Arabidopsis thaliana: one gene and its partners. The protein of the gene in region 1 interacts with the protein of each later gene in a pairwise test. Each region holds a gene or a part of one and is shown on either strand. Other genes may lie near its edges. The genes, in order: RR14, UBA1A and TIFY8.

Evidence for each region.
Region 2: the proteins of RR14 (region 1) and UBA1A interact in binary tests that used the Arabidopsis thaliana proteins (3 or more experiments, as listed by UniProt).
Region 3: the proteins of RR14 (region 1) and TIFY8 interact in binary tests that used the Arabidopsis thaliana proteins (3 or more experiments, as listed by UniProt).

Annotation. Positions count from the first base shown.
Region 1 is NC_003071.7:329,831-335,510, reverse strand, and holds RR14 (response regulator 14), read right to left. Parts: upstream 2,610-5,680; 5' UTR 2,471-2,609; coding exon 2,122-2,470; intron 2,044-2,121; coding exon 1,639-2,043; intron 1,556-1,638; coding exon 1,479-1,555; intron 1,399-1,478; coding exon 997-1,398; 3' UTR 815-996; downstream 1-814. Other genes in the region: VIT1 (vacuolar iron transporter 1), read left to right, coding at 1-63, 439-736; AT2G01755 (uncharacterized protein), read left to right, coding at 2,723-3,262; MAP70-3 (microtubule-associated proteins 70-3), read right to left, coding at 3,663-3,705, 3,809-4,002, 4,096-4,620, 4,717-4,788, 4,913-5,059, 5,168-5,323, 5,423-5,593. UniProt on the Arabidopsis thaliana protein: Transcriptional activator that binds specifically to the DNA sequence 5'-[AG]GATT-3'. Functions as a response regulator involved in His-to-Asp phosphorelay signal transduction system.
Region 2 is NC_003071.7:9,387,954-9,393,633, forward strand, and holds UBA1A (RNA-binding (RRM/RBD/RNP motifs) family protein), read right to left. Parts: upstream 2,554-5,680; 5' UTR 2,498-2,553; coding exon 1,454-2,497; 3' UTR 1,097-1,453; downstream 1-1,096. Other genes in the region: AT2G22080 (uncharacterized protein), read left to right, coding at 1-44; AT2G22088 (uncharacterized protein), read left to right, coding at 431-587, 849-1,096; AT2G22100 (RNA-binding (RRM/RBD/RNP motifs) family protein), read right to left, coding at 4,444-5,592. UniProt on the Arabidopsis thaliana protein: Acts as a component of a complex regulating the turnover of mRNAs in the nucleus. Binds with high affinity to RNA molecules that contain U-rich sequences in 3'-UTRs. May function in complex with UBP1 and contribute to the stabilization of mRNAs in the nucleus.
Region 3 is NC_003075.7:15,715,612-15,721,291, forward strand, and holds TIFY8 (TIFY domain protein 8), read right to left. Parts: upstream 3,257-5,680; 5' UTR 3,092-3,256; coding exon 2,845-3,091; intron 2,152-2,844; coding exon 1,982-2,151; intron 1,890-1,981; coding exon 1,633-1,889; intron 1,555-1,632; coding exon 1,458-1,554; intron 1,346-1,457; coding exon 1,120-1,345; coding exon of another isoform or gene 1,055-1,119; intron 1,049-1,054; exon of another isoform or gene 911-1,048; coding exon 822-910; 3' UTR 621-821; downstream 1-620. Other genes in the region: AT4G32560 (paramyosin-like protein), read left to right, coding at 1-46, 155-277, 362-424; AT4G32580 (Thioredoxin superfamily protein), read right to left, coding at 4,267-4,503, 4,605-4,679, 4,754-4,924. UniProt on the Arabidopsis thaliana protein: Repressor of jasmonate responses.

The DNA of each region.
Region 1 (5,680 bases):
ATATTCACCTGTAGTTAATGCTCTTCGTAAGAATCCTCAAGCTTGGCTTGATTTTATGATGAGGTTAGTCTCACTAATGAAAATTAGTGTTATTTTATGTATACTATATAGTCCATTAGTATTATTTTATGTATATTATATAGTCTTAATTAAAGAGAAAATCGAGGGATACTTTTAGATTTCTGCAAAAGCTGAGCTTATACTTTCCAGGTGTGGGCAAGATTCTTATATGGTCCGACTTCCAATTTTAATCTTTTTTGTTGCAACAAATAAAGTACGTGAATAGTAACAAACAGAAAACAACAAATTACGTGAATATAAAAACTTATCTTATTGATTTGGTTAAGTTTAACACTCTTTACCTATCACAAAATGTTTATATTCCTACTATAAGCATGTAACTTGTTATATAAGTGAGACTTTATTGTTTCGTTACAGGTTTGAGCTGGGATTAGAGAAGCCTGATCCAAAAAGAGCGTTACAAAGCGCGTTCACGATTGCAATCGCTTATGTTCTTGGCGGTTTTATACCGTTACTTCCCTACATGCTCATACCGCATGCCATGGATGCGGTAGTGGCGTCTGTGGTTATAACTCTGTTTGCGCTCTTCATATTTGGCTATGCAAAAGGGCATTTCACTGGAAGCAAGCCCCTCAGAAGTGCGTTTGAAACCGCCTTTATAGGAGCGATTGCTTCAGCTGCTGCTTTTTGTTTGGCTAAAGTTGTGCAACATTAGCAGTAACAAAACTAGTGTTGCGTTTGATGTTTTGTGTACTTTGAGACTTGTTTGTTGCATGTCTTGTGGTTATTATCAGGCTAAAACTTTTGGCAACCATAATAAAGTGAGAGATAACAATTCAAAATATTGGTTACATAATTACTTTCCTAAGCTAACATTGCAGACACACAAGTTTTCTTCTGACATTAATCCATTCCTGAAGATTTAAAAGAAACAGTTGCAGAGCCTTCTCTTCTTAAGCGTATCCATATTGGTCACTATCTTTGTCTTGAAGATCTTTCCAAGATCCAAGATTCTTCATTGACATTTGATCCATACCCTTGTCTGATTCTGTTGTTGTTAACGTCACCTCTCTGTCTGAAATTTGCTGAGGAAGATAGACCATGAACCGCCACAGAAACAGGACGGTTAGAAGCGGATGATACATCAACCGAGAAGTGTTCATTTTGAGATCTACCAAGATTGTCATTAGGAATCCAAACTCCAAAACTAGCAGAGTGATGATTGTCTATTGGTTGACCAAACAATGCAGCTAATGTCTGTGGATGTAATTGTCCTGAGGAAACCAGAGCTTGAATGTTTTCATATCTTTTGGTAGACTCAGAGTCATTACTCTGCGAAGCTTCACCGCTTAATCTCTTCAAATACAATCGGAACTTCTGCAAATGGTATTGATTCAGTCATAACCCTTATAGAGACCCTAATAAGAAGAAAGATTCAATCAATCAATCAAAGAAACCTGTAAATGACTAGCCACGTTTTCTCTGCTTAAACCAGGAACATTCATCAACTCGAGAATCCGCTTTGGTACAGCTTCTGAAACAATAAGAGAGATTCTTATAAGCACAAATTACTTTGAATTTCTTCTACAAGCAATAAGATAGTGTTTAGGATCATACTGTCAATTCCAAGTTTGTTTACGGCATTAACGAATTGTTGATGCAATTCAATAGACCAAACAACGCGTGACTTCTTCGAGTTTCCAGGATCAAGAAGAAGATCATCTTCATTATCATCTCTATCAACACTTCTCTTCTTCTTCTTCTTCTTATTCCTACATTTCATCAAACTTTCCTCTGAGCATTCACTAACCGAAACAACAACAGTCTCGAGGCTACCACTGTTCTTGTTATCCTCTAAAGCTTGAGAACTTCGAAGCTCTTTCTTCATCACACATTTCCTTCTAACAACATGTTGCCAAATGTTCTTAAGCTCTTCAGGACGAATAGGTTTGATTAGATAATCACAAGCTCCATGGTTGATTCCAGTCATGACTGTAGTTGTTCTTCCATCAACAGACATCACTAGAAACAGAGCAAATGTAAGAAACATTGATGCAAAGATTCAATCTTTAGAGACAAAACATAACAACAGAGTCTTACTAATGACAGGAAGATCCATTTCAAGAAGACCAACTTGTTGAAGAAGATTGTAACCATTCATACCAGGCATATGAACATCACTTAGCACCAAATCAAAACTGTCTTTTCTTTCTCTTAGAATGGTTAACGCAACATCAGCTTGTGAGCAAATTGTAACTACAAAGAGAAGATAAAACAAAAATGTTAAAACTTTCTTGAGAAAATCTATTAAAAGGTGGGAACTTTGATAAAGAATTAGACCTTGGTACATGAGACGGAGAAGCATTTTCTCGAGAATGAACAAGCATGAAGTATCATCGTCTACAACGAGTATTCTTAACCCACTAGGAAACTGATCGTTGATCGGCATTAAGCTTTGGTGTGAGTATTGAAAACCCTAGAGAACTGAGAAAGAGATTTTGGTTGGAGAAGAAAGAAGAAGAAATGATTGAAGACGTACAGTGTTGAGTAAGTAGCCACTGGTTTGAAGAGAGAGGCAACGAAAGCGACTGGTAATAGCTGTAGTGGCACTCTGTTGTAATTAATCCAATTGGTACTACCCTTATTTGTAAACATACACGAGTCCTTTAAAATCTTATCTATAGACAAAGTCACGGTCCTCATGCACTACAATATCAGAATGCTTATCACGCCGGCGAATTTATCCGGTGGCATAGCCGGATTATTCGTTTTCGGACAGAAAGATCAAATGACTAAAATACCCTCGCTCACAAACTCGTATAACTACCGGAAAAAACTTTTCACCGTCCCTCCAGTGGCGGAGAGAAGAAGAGCTTTGAAGATGTTCTGGTGCGGTGCTCGGAGAAGGGTGAGAGACGAGGGAGGTGGTGAAGATGAAGATGAAATGTATGGATACAACGAGGAAATGGCGATGTTGGAGATATATAGCCAGTCGTGTAGAGAAGAAGCGCTTATAGTGACGGCCATTGTCGACGATGAAGAAGTGGAAGTTGTAATCTTTAAAGGAGTGTCGTCGTGCTTGAGCGGAGAAACGGCGGTGGATCCGGCGAGGAGTGTGTTGCCGGAGAGAGCAGTCATTACAAAGATTGATAGAGTGAGAGGTCCTTTTGATCCTTCACAGATTCATTATATTCAAAGGGACATCTCTTTTCAAGCCTTCAAGGAGACCAGACTCAACTAATGTTAGTGAATGTTGTGTCTGGATCAATGAAACTAATGACAATTTCAATTTTTTCACTAATAACTCTCACCTCTGTTTCTGAACTAATTTCTTAAATCTATAACATACCCCAAAATGAGAAAAATGGACAAAGGTAAGATAGAGAGAGATACAATAAATCACACACTAAGCTCAAGTTAGTAGTTAAAACACAAACCTAACTCTTTTCTATATATGAGGAAAACAATAAACATCAGCCAAGAAATTAAAAATCAGTTTTTAACTTTGAAATCTTACTATGTTAAGAAGCACACAAACCTCCCATATTGGATTTCTATATTTGTATGCTTTTTGTCATTCCTTCAATCTATTAACCACTGAATTGAGATTCATATTTTGCTCGTGGAATCGACTTCTTTGATCACTGCGTGCTCCTCGTCATCCCCATTCGTCCTGAGCCTCTGCTAAAACAACAATGCAAAGCAAACGTTCAAGTGTTAAAGAAAACTAACCTAACCAACTTATAATCGTTACATTGGGTCATTATAATAAGAAAACATCAGGTACCTTCCAGAAAGTAACTGTGCAGTTGTTGAAGCTCCTTTTGAGTTAGTAGAGTGACGTCTCGTTCTACTATCTGATCCTTTGTTATCCACACGCATAGCTGAAACCTCTTTCTCCATTGCTGCTACTTCTCTTCGCATCTTCTTTGCTTCCACTTCCATCGCCTTTGTTAGTGTTTCAACCTTCTTGGCCAACATCTAAAAGCAAACACAAGCCCAAGTATTTTGATCAGAGAATATAAATAAATATAAGCAAACGTTTCTTGGAAAGGTGTAAAACTAATGACTAACCTCAATAGCTTCGTCTTTATCTCTAAGGCTTTGATCTTTATCATTAGCAGCTTTCCTTAAAGTTATCACCTCCTTTTGAAGCAAATCATGTAATACTCCTGGGACACTATCATTATTTGTCCCTGCTGCTTTCTCTGAATCTCCTTGTTTTGTTGAATTAGGTGACCCGCCTCCGCTTGTTCCTTCAGAAGATTGGTTCAATGGAAACTTCGATCTGGGTTCGTTTGTTAGTACTTTACTCCTATCTAAAGATCTACTGCCTCCGTCAAATGATCTGGATGTTCCTTTCGCATGCTTCAATATTGTGCTTGTACTAGCATTCAAAGATCTAAACTGAGAACTTGGTGACCTCTTGGAGAAAAATCCATTTGATGTCAGTTTCGGAATAATATCAGCTCCGCCAAGGGATTGTCTTCGAGAAGGCCCGTTGCTCATACTTCTTCCCTCAGGTGTCGATCGGTTTCCACTGCTTGAAGGCCCTCTTAAACTCTCTTCTAAGACTCTAAGCCGCAGTTGAAATTTCTCCTGCAAAAGGCAAAAGCAGCAATTCTAATTAAAGCCTTGATACATAAGGACATAAAGAAGACTAAAGCTATATGGATCTGAACTCCGAATTCTTACCTTTAGCTGAGCTTCAGATTTTGCAGCTCGATCAGCTATGGCAAGTTTGTCACGTAGTTGTTGCATTTCTCCCTGTCCAAAAAGAAACAGGAAAATGGTTAAAGAATGCACTTACTCAAGTTACAATGGTTCCTGTGAATATGAATCACAACTCGAAGCAGTAACAGAAGCCCAAAAATAAAATATCAAAAGTAACCTGCAGAAATCTTCGTTCTTCGAGCCATTGCTTCACAGGCATCACTTTATCGCTACCATCTTTCCACTCATTTGCCACTACAGTTGCAACCCTGCTTGCACTTACTTTGGCACGAGCCAGTTCCCGATCAAGGATTCTCCTCTCTTCCTAATGAAAGGATTAATGGCCATAGCTATGATTAGCACAGGAATTGAATTTTAAGTACAAGGGTAGCAATAGGCTAATGAGGCACTAAACGTGTAATTTAATTATTACATTCATTTCTTGAAATTTCCTCTGGTAATCTCTCACTGCATTTGCAGCTGTACCACCAGCAAGAACAGCTTCTTCAAGCTCCCGTACGGTCTGGGTAAACTTTTCAACTTCTGCAACCTTTTGTCTGTGCAACTTGTCCAAAATTCTGTTCTCTTCCTAATTTGAACAATCGATAAACAAGGCATGCTCACGAAAACGAAGGAGAGAGATCCAGGAATTTATAGTACTGCTGGGTAAAGGAGGCGAAAGTGATACCTGACAAATTTCTATCTGTTTCATTAGCTCTTGGTTTTTATTCTGGAGGTCATCAACCATTGAAGCCTTTGCAAGAGCAGACTGAACAGTTCTTTCAGCATCAAGCAAAGCTGCTTCCTTCGACTTGGTTAGACGGTCCAATGCTCTGTTGTCATCTTGAAGTTTAACAATCTACAAATGAAGAATGCAATGCCCAGTTATTAAAAAGGTTCCAAGACTCAATAAGCAAGGAAATAAGAGATATAGTTGATTGAAAGG
Region 2 (5,680 bases), 9.1 Mb from region 1:
ATGATGAGGAAGCGCTTCAGCCACCAAAGAAGAGGAAGAAGTGAACAAACCGCTTTGATCTCCTAACATTTTAGATTCAAAAATCAAAACTTGTTATCGGTTTTTACCTGAAGAGGAGAGAATCTTAAGGCATCATCAGCTTTAGCTTCAACTGTGTCTTTGTTGTTCCATAAACCAAGACTTTGTTTAGTGTAACATTTTCAGATCCAATGGCACCAGCTTTCTTTTCTTTAGCCCATCATTAATGATATATGCATATCTCTATGAGGTCATCAAATGCGATCAAATTTATATAACAACTTCAAGGGTCAACTTTAGCTGTCATAAATAGTTAAAAGAAAGTTAAATCCTATTGAGTCCTCATAGAGCAAACCTTTTTCCCCAGAGGTCACAATACAGATTGCACAGAGGTCTTTAACGAATAATCACAATGATATTACTTGAGCCACAGACTGTCTATCGTATGATATCGGACAAGAGTGACATCAAACAGAAAAAAAAAGAAAGGAAGAAAAAACAATACAAAAAAAAACTAAAACGTACTGACTTTGATAGAAATGTTAAAAAGAAATCCCCAGAAACTGCATGTTTATCATTCTCATGCTCAGCCCACACCATCTGCAAAAGTTGGAGTTCAAGAAAACAAAACAAAACATAACTCTATCAAAAGCTGAAGACAAAAAGAAAAACATATGGAAACAAGAGCAATGCTCTATCTTTCTGGTAAGATAACCCCGAAAAGTGAAAACAATAGAAATCAAAGGGACAAACATAAAAAAAATGTTAAAACTCAAACTTAAGTCTAAAACCATGAGTGCAACAGCATGAACAGATGCTATAGTTTACAGTCCGTTTAAAGACGTTAGCACCAAAACCAGATGAGTGGAGAGATGGTGGACGTTCAGTTTATAAAACCCAGTGCAACACTAAAACAAAAAAAGCCAAGAGACAAAAAGAATGTAACAATATTCGTCCCCACCATCACCAACCTATAGAGAAACTAACTTCGATAAAACAAATGGCACTTGAGAAAACTGTAAAACCAGGGACAGTAAAGAAAAGAAAACAAAACATAAACCAACAAAAGGAAAAATAATGGAGAAAACAAAAAAAACAAAAGTATGGTGGGTCACATTGCATCTACTTGAAATAGAGTCGAAGCAAGATTCATGAATAATGAATTACGGCAACCGATGACAATGCTAACCTACCTCTAGAACATAATTTAGGTATTTAATTCCTGTAGCAGTTCCTCCTAGGAATATACATATTTAGGCATTTAAGCCAACTATTTGACTAGAGAGGCATAATAATGTCAGATAAAATTCCGGTACTACCACAAAAGCCTTAATCCATTTATCTACACATGACGGAGCTACAATGAATTTATGCTTATCCAAAGACATTCAAACCACAATATTAGCACAAACATTGCTACAAAACACCAAAGGTTTCAGTGAACGTACCATGAATAGTTTGAGTAGCCATGAAAGGAGGAGCCACCAGCATCCGAATCTTTACCCGTCCCTCTTTTTCCACCAGCATCCGAATCAGGATAAGTACTAGGCAGACTCTGACCTCTAAAGTAAGAACCTAGAGCTGAAAGACCAGCAGCACCAACGCTTGGATCAACACCAATCCCACCCATTTGACTAGACTGTACCATATCAGAACCCAACCCGCCATGTGCTAGAGCACCCGCTAACATCGGATACATGTAACCTCCCCCAGCTGCTGCTGCTGCTGCTAAAGCTGGATTTCCCAACATCCCAGCTCCATAAAGCGGATGGTATTGGTTCCCTAACATAAACGGCGAAGCAGCCATTCCACCACCGTTAAACACATGTTGACCTTGTACCTGCTGTTGCTGAGGCTGTCCATGATTAGCCATCGAACCCATACTAATCTTCACCGGACCAGGTTGATCATGCCCCTTTCCTGAAGCCGCAGGACCCATAGAAGCAAGCTGGCAAGTGGCAGTTCTATTAAGAATCCTCTTCTTCGGTTCTTTAAGAGCTTCTTTAGCTCCTTTCCTAGTCTTGAACATAACAAATCCAAACCCTTTAGCCTTACCAGTAGCCTTATCTATAACAACGGTACACTCTTCAATCTCACCATAACCTTCAAAGACTCCAACAAGAGTCTCGCGAGTCGTCTCCCATGGAAGACCATAAACGAAGATTTTCCTGTGTGTAACATCACGATCTGCGGCTTCTACGACGGCGGAATAGATCGAAGATCCGATTCGAGAAGCGGAACAAACTAGATCGACAAGCTGGTCCTTGGAATAAGGTTGTAGAAGCTCACGGAGCTCTTCTGGGTCGAATTCGTTGTCTGATTCGGAATCGCTAGAATCAGAGCTGGAGCTTGAACTTGAATATGGCGTTGAGGATTCTGGTTGTTGTTGTTGTTTGTTAATCTTCTGTTTCTTATCGAAATTCGTGGATTTGGATTTCACGAGTTTGCGCTTCTTAGATTTGTCTAGGGTTTTCGCCATTGTAGTAGAGGATAAACGAGTCAAGAAGCTTTTAGGGATTTTGATTTTTGATTTTTGATTTCAGTTTCCTGTTTCCCCTCGGGTCAAGAGTTCGATTTACTTTATCCTCGAGATGTCGTTTTTCCGATTTTTTCAGTTTAATTTTTTTTTTATTCGAGTATTTTGCTTTGAATATATTTTCAAATATTTAGATTATTTTTGGATTGGTTTATTTTGAATATTTTTATTATTTTACATATTTTTAAATATTTGCTTTATATTTAAGATAAGGCCTTAGATCTTTGTAGAGGTTACATGGCAAGATGCTGGCTTTAAGTTATGATGGCTATACATCAACCGGAATACCATAAGCTCCCTAACTTTACGGGGTGTGAACTTTGTGGTACTTTTCTTTTAGAGCGCCGTCAGAAAAGATTCCTGGCTAGGCAGAGGTTTTAGCCATATTGGTGGTGTCGCTCTGCTACTTGTTTATTCATTCACCAGTTGAAACTTTTTTTTCTTTCTTTTTTATCTTTATGTGTTATGAGAAACTAAAAAAATAGTCACCGAGATCTTAGAGAGGGTTTTGTTTTTGTTCTTAAGATTTTCAGAGTTTCCCCATTGGAAAGAAAAACAAAGCCCTCATAAGATCATGATCACAAAACAACGAAATCAAATGACCAAAACCAAACCAAAGTTGATTTAGCTGAAGCATACTATAGATTAATACGAGTTGATTCATATGGATGGATGGATAGCTGCAGAGAAGACCAAAAACCGAGAAACAAGATTGATCCTCTTAAGAAATCGAAAAACTGAAAACAAGATTGATCCTCTTAAGAAAACAAGCATTCGCATCATCGGTCACTGTGAGGTCATTGTGAAAATCCAAAGAAAAAAAAAAAAAAAACAAGTATGCTTTGCTACCATAACCAGAGTTATATAGAATATGAATAACGAGCAGGTAAAAAAAAGGTAAATCCAGAACAAAGCTATGTAAGGTGAAAAACAAATTGGGTCCAAGTACCGATGACCAAAAACAATCTTGAACTTAGGCAAGAAAACTTGGCAACTGATATCAAAATGGACTCTTAAATACAAAAGAGAAAGGGGCGACACTACCATAAAAGAGGAATGTGATGAAAGAGATTGAGAAGCTTATAAAAACCTATGGGGAAGAAAACAATGCTTGAAGGAAAGAAAACTCAGGTTGTTTATTCCAGAGAAAATCAACTTGAAGCTTTTGAAAGAGTCCCAAAACTTTTTCCAGTACTCAAAAAGACAGATTTAAAACAAGAATGTAAAACCATTATGTCTGATCCTACAAACGGGTCTCAAGACAACTGCAGCTGGAAGATACAGACTTTTGGCAGTTATGACATATAGTGGACAAAACTATAAATGTCATAAGCTTCTTCTCCAGCTATAGCGAACAGATATTCAATGAAAATGCGGGAAAACATAAAACCAAAAACAAGGAAAAACAAAAGAGAAAAACATACGCCATGCCACAGAAGAAAACCAGACGTGAGTTTGATGGGTAAGGAGAAGACAGAAGACCATAATGGGGGACTCCAAAAGGGAAAACAAAGAGATAGCAAACTACTTTAAACCAATATTGATCCTAGTAACTAAATCTTCTAGACAAAATGACCACATTTCACTGGTTTATGAGAACAGAGCAGAACACCAATGACAGACTTCCAGAGAGCAACAGAAAATTCATCCTTTGAGCACACATCTCCCTCAAAATGGCTCATATAGGGGTAGATACCTCGTTAAAAGAGACTATAAATAATGAAACTAAAAAAGTAGGTTTGAAACATCAGGCATAGAAAATAAAGATCCGCAAAAAAAACTCCTGCAATTCCCAAAATATCAAGTTGGAGTCGAAGATACCGGACTAATCATTAGCCTAATCTATAACTTGAAATATCAGAGAACATGGTCATACCACTTGGGTTCTCTTATCTCAGATACCAAGCACGTTCACCATCAAAACCAGCACCAGCACCAGCACCCGCACCAACACCGTTAACATTACCATCACCAACATATTGTCCCACCATTCCCATATGATTCGGTGGCATCATAGGTCCTTGATTCATCATACCCGAGCCAAACATACGATAATTCTGTAAACCAGCAACCATCGGATTACCCATCATTGCACCATACATAGGATTAAAACCAGGAGGAGGCTGAGAATGTCCATAAAAGGGCATGTTCTGTCCAGCATACATTGACATATTCTGCTGCTGCTGATGTCCCTTATCAAGTCCATGACCCAAATCAATCCCAGGCAAAGCCATTTCACTCTGATTACCCGTATGACTCAAATCAATCTTCACAGACTCAACCGGTTGTTGTTGTTCTCGTGGCTTTCCAGAATTAAACGGCCTAGCTGGTAAACAACTAACAGTTCGATTATACATTCTCTTCTCCGGATTCTTCAACGCCGCTCTCGCTCCTTTACGCGTCTTAAACAACACAAAGCCAAAACCTTTAGCTCTTCCTGTATCTTTATCCATAACCACAGAACATTCCGTTATCTCCCCATAAACCTCAAAAGCCGCCTTGAGATTCTCATGCGTTGTATCCCATCCAAGACCACGCACGAATATGTTCCGTTGAGAACTATCTCTATCCGCTGATTCAAACACTGCTGAGATCAATTTAGAACCTTTCTCAGCAGTTTTGTAAATTAGGTTAATAAGCTCCTCTTTAGAGTAAGATTCAAGTAGATTCTTAATATCTTCCTTATCGAATTCGAAATCAGAATCAGACTCAATGGTAACAATCGGGACCGTAACAGGCTTTGAATCGACGATCTCTTCGGATTCATCTGATGATCTCTTATGTTTCTTCTTACTCTCCTTCGATTTCTTAGGAGATGGAGATGGAGATGGAGATTTCTCCTCTTCTTCTACTTCTTCGTATTTCTTCGATTTCTTCTTTGATTTCTCTGGTTTCTCTTCCTCTTTGGATTTCGATTTATGTTTTTTTGAGATTTTCTTCTCTCTTACAGCGAGTTCTTCAGCTTCGCGACGCTTCCTCTCCTTCCTCTCCTTCTTCTCTTTCTTCTCCTTCTTACGTTCTTCTCCTTCTTTCGCCATTGTTGACGGCAGTGGCTACCAAAAAAAACACTCTGAATAGAGTAACTCCTCTAAAATAGGGTGCACCAGAGAACACTAGATTATTTAA
Region 3 (5,680 bases), on another chromosome or scaffold:
GAAGCTTATTGATTCAATGGAAGGAGTCATGAAAGGAATCCAACAGGTAATCTGAGTTATATTGAATCAGGTATTTGAGGCACAAAGCATGAACTAACCCATCTTACCTATCTATAGCTGTATGATTTGTCATAACAAAATGTTTAAAGTGCAGAAGATTGGAAAAATACAACTTGGGCTTCAAGAAGAGCAGAGGCTCCGTGATGCTTCAAAAGAAAAGTATATAGCTGCAGCTGCAGAGCAAAGAAAATGCTACACTGTACTAAGAGCATACCAGGTTAGCACAAGATAGGAAATAAGTGTTTATACTGAAAAGCCCGAGAGTCATCTACTTACGTAGTGCTAAATTTCTCAATGGCAGGAGGAATGTACTAAGAATGAGAGGCTGAGAAGTCATATATCTGCCATGAACGAACACCTCTGACTCGAAGAAGGGTTTGAATAAGGTGATATGAAGTGACTCTCCTTTCGAGTTACAGCTAACCAGAGTAGAGCCAGAGTTGATTTAGATATGATTCTCTTGTGATGTGATGTATCCATATGCTCAGCCTTACATGGAAATATACGAAAATCGATAGGCCTAGAAATAGTAGGTTTGGTTGACCAATATGTTTATATATGAGCTATGAGAAAATATTATTCTCTAAATCATTGAGGAGATGAGTTTGAATACAAACCTAGAAAGGTACAGAGCATTGTACAAAGCTATCAAGTCAACAAATAACAACTTAGAAGAAGTTGACCAAAAACAAAAAAAAAACAAAAAAAACAACAACTTAGAAGAACAGCCACACTCATCGTCTCTCATATTCAGACTTTAATCATGTGGCTTCTTTTTCAGGATCTGATCTGTGAACCGGATCTCTGATATCTCGTCCCCTTGAGATGATGCTTCCTTGATGCTCTCTACCTGCAAATCATACATGTACATGGTTTTATGGCTCCTCAAACAGATTCAAGTTGATAAAACCCAGAACAGTTGATAACTCTTTACTGTTGTATCCTCATTTTATTATGTCACAATGCAAAATAAGACCTGATTACTCTACTCCACTCAGTATTTGTAAGAAGCTAACCAAAATTTCTGCTGAAATCTGGTTTTCTTTAAAAAGAAGTCACCTGGTTGTGTAAAGATCCGGTGACAGGCACTGGAGGTAGGTTGATGACTCGGCCTTGCACGAAATTCCGGGGGCATTTGTGGTGTTTCCTTAGAGCTGCCTCCTTCATACATTTGGCCTAGCTTGTATGGACCGTCACTTGTGTTGTTCTTCGACTTCGGTTTATGAGACAAACCCGTAGACCATGAGCCTCCGCTTGATCCTGCCAAGGCCATTATCACATCCGCCTGCAAAAAAATAACATTCATCAGATGAACTTCTCAATTCTCTACCTTTTTAGATATCAAAATGTAGTCAAATAACTTGAATATCAAGTGTATAAGTGTTAGGGAGAATCACCTTGTTTGGGTGAACGTCATCAAAGACATGAGCTTGACCGCCATAGAAGATGGTCATTTGCTTAGTACTCGACGCCAAGTCTTTCCGATTTCCGGTACTGCAAATACAAAGTGTATTGAAATGACTCGAAGAGTATCGAAAGACCAGAGACACAAAACACTAGAAGCTAACTGACTTTGAAGGGGCAAAACTTTCGAGCTTGCTTGAGTTTGGCATTGTAAAAGAACTCAAGATACCGGGACCTTTCATCCCTGTTCGTGAACCTTCATCAGCAGCTGTCTGAGCAATAACTGATGGGCCTACGTTCTCATCTTTGAACCTGCTAGTAGACAGCTGATGAAGCAAATGACTGATCTGTCCTCCTCCGCGTGGAGGCTGGTTTGCCAAAGGATTCACATTCATGGAGAAGCTTCCAGGTCCGTTTCTAAGCAACTAGGTTATGACAATGACATATTACAGAAACTGAGTTCTACGTAGCTGTGACCATGGTGAAGTTGTGTAGGTTCTGTTTTTTTTTTAGTTACCTTGGACCAATGCAGAGTCTCTGGGTGCTCCTGAGTCGTGAAGTGAGAATCAGAGTTACTTCTCTTATTTCCTGAAAACCGATTGCTCATGATTGAGCCAGAAACATCACTTCTTGGTCCAAACAATTGTATCCCATCAAGATGATTCCCACCGCCGCTGTGTCTTTCGACTAAACAATGATAAAATATGGATAAGTAACTTAAAGATTGTTGTGGGAGGGAACTCAAGGAGATAGAGAGAGAAAACGAGAGGCAATAAAGAAGGGCCAATTCATATAAAAAAGGATCACAACCTCAAATGGCTATGACCCACCAAACTCATCAGTCAAATTCACTCTCAATGTCCCAACTAATCCACCAGAGGGCATTATGGTTGGGCAGAGAGAGAGAGAGAGAGAGAGAGAGAGGGAGAGTCCTTAACACTACAAGAGGTCAAGCAACCACATGCCCACACACAATCCATGTTCATGTTTCTTAAATTGTCGAACTAAAAAAGCAATGAGGCAAGAAATGAAACAAGACAATGTACATTCACATTTTGTTCAACCTTATGAACCCAAAGATGTTCCATTTTCAACTTAAGAGATCTAATCATAAATGAATTGACTAAAAAATTTGAAACTAACTCACATGATCTCTTACATTTTCAAATCATGGTGAATCAAAGCTCGATCGTTAATCCAGACTAGGGGGAAAAGAAAGAATCCAACTTTAAATCGAATCTATGTAACAAAAGTTGAACTTTCTATAGATAGAAACCCTAAATGTACAGAGGAATCAGCTCAAAACCTCATCAGCGTAAGCACACTACGTCAACAACAACAAAAACATCAGGAGAGAGAGATAGAGAGACAGAGCAGAACCGAGATCGGAGGTTGAGGAGAGACCGCCGAGTCCACCGGCGGAGGAAGCAGAAGCCGTGGAAGGAGTCATCGCCGCTTTAGCCGCCTTATTATCCGGTGGTAGCCTATGGTCAGCCATGGAAGTGGATGCTAAAGTAGGATTCTTGGAGCCTAAAAAGTCATGGAACAAGAGCTTATCTTGTTCTGTCTGTCGGAGACGAGAATCAATATCAGTGGGTCGCTGGCCATTGTTGTGGTTCACCATCATGAAACCAGTGTGTCAGTGTGGCCACTTCGCCACCACATCCTCCGTTACAGTCTTTCTCTCTGTCTCTGGCAGAGTATTATTTCATGGACACACTCAACGAGAGAGAGAGAGAGAGATATTATCAGTTTTTTGTTTTTTGTTTTTCTGGGTAAGTGTATAATAAAGCTTGTCTTTTTCTTCTTCAAGCTACTTTATTGGGTTTCTCTTACATGATTTTAATTCCCTTTAATATTATAATAATCACATCTTTCAAATAATATATGATTAAAAGTTCAGCCCAAAAGAAAAAAGTACGATTGTAAAATCATGGCATTATAGACTCTTTTTAAATTAAGGTTATCATAGATTCATAATGTTATTGATTTGAGAAAGTGAGTTTGTGTATCTAATCTAACCAACACACTATAATTTGGTGTAGTAGTACAATGTTAACTACTTTACTCATATGTGGTTGTTAGATCGATTAGTTAAATAATTTTTATACACATAATTTTATCATTACGCGCCAAATAATCTGTTTTAAAATTAAAATGCAAAATGTATGCATATAACTTTACCTAAATATATGGTTTTGAGATGAGAGTTGTTGAATTTTGAATGATTATAAGTGTTTGATTTCTTACTCTAATATGAGTAAGAGAGAGAACTCATGAACCAACCACTCATGACGAATTTCTATACTCTTAAATGAAATCGATTTTACAACTACTCATGACGATTTTTCCCACTTTAATCTAGTTTAATTATGGAGTATTTAAGATGTTTATTGAAACCACCAAATTAGTATTAGCTGATTTTTTAATCAACTAGTCTCCGGACTGTGATTAATTGGGTTGATAGAAGTATAATGGTCATTTATATGGGAATTGGGAACACGTGTTGTTTTTCTTGTTCTTACTACACAAACCTTAACTAGATGTTTGTGATATGGAGGCTCAAGTATCTGGGTTAACAATAGAGCTAGGGGTAAACTTTCCAGTAGGCTTATGTTCTTCCCATATGAACATAATTCCTTCAACGACAAGACATAGCACGTGTTCTTCAAACAACAGTAGCAGGTCAACTTTAGCAACATGTTTGCTCCAAGTAGCTACCTGATATATATCCACAAGAATTCCAACTATAAAGAAAGTACTCAATAGATATTAAAAATCGAGGCTCTTCAGGAGTACCATTCATGAATAACATAACAGGGTGAGTTTTTCCAAACGATTCTTGAGAGCATCAGCGGTAGATACAGGCTGAGCTCGGTCTTGTCCAGAAGCTTTCGCATTCTTCTTAACAGTTTCAAGAATCGTTGGCCCTGCAGCCAACCCTAAGCTTGCAGGAGTAATAGAACCAGCAACTTTGCCAACTTTATTAGCTAAACTTGATGGATCTGCCCCTTCAAGTGTATCCACAGTTTTGCCATCCTTCAATAAGAAAAGGATTCAGTGCAGTGACAAAGATTCAAGCTTTGTCAATAAGCCAAAAAATTGCAACCAAACAAAGAATCAATATGCCTAAAGTTTACCTTGAAGAAGACGAAATACGGCACAAGAGCAACAGAATAAGCCTCAGATATCTCAGGATGTTCCTCAGCTTCTACCTAAGAAGATAAATAAAACCAATCAAAGTCAAAAACCAATTGAAAGAGATAAAATTCGAACAGAGACGACGAACCCTAAAGAAGTGAGCACGAGGGAAATCAGTAGCGAGATGAGAGAAAACTTGATCCATCTGCTTCGAAGCGTCACACCAAGAAGCCCAGAAGTGAAGCACGAGTGGTGCTCCGCTGTGGCGCAAGTTATCAAGCTCCTCCTTTGAAACGATATCCTTCACAGTACCACTCATCTTCGAAGAGGAAGGAGATGTCGCGTCTCTCTCGGAAGGATCTCCAACACTTTTTCTTTTCTTTTTGTGATTACCAATCTATTATCGAGCAGAATTCTTCTGTTGCTGGAGAAGGAAAAGAGATTTATGTAACTAAGAAAAAAAAATGGTCGGAGAGGGAGATTTGATTTTGTGTCTGTATCGTACGTGTCACAAACTCTCAAAAGTTTGATAACTGTCAAATATACCACATGACAAGTAAACTATCTTTTACTGGGTTATATAGTTGAAAATAATCCGCTAAACGATGATAGTGAATTTTGTTGTTTAAGTGACAGTAAGATGGCGAACAAAGTATACTATATGATATGATTGTTTGCACAATTGGTAATCTCACTGTTCTGCTTTCTTGTTTCCCACTTACTTTTCTTGCTTATCTCACATGAAACAGAAACAATGCATACTAGATGCTTCCCTCAGACATAAATCATCAGAAAGTTAAGAATAATTTTTTAGTTACATAAATATTTGTCTTTAAAATTGCTCAATCCATCCATCTTCTCAAAATATATACAGGGAAATTATAGGAGATGGAATTAGCGCATTGTTTTCCAAGTGAAATATTCCAAGACTCAAATAAGTTAAATGGGCTTGAAAAAATTAGCACTAAAAGGCCCACTTAACGTCTTTTCAATTTATAATTTAAAGATAAGTCGAAGATATAAATTGAAAATAAGTTAAATGGGCTTGTTAATGGGTTAACAACAGAGACAAAAA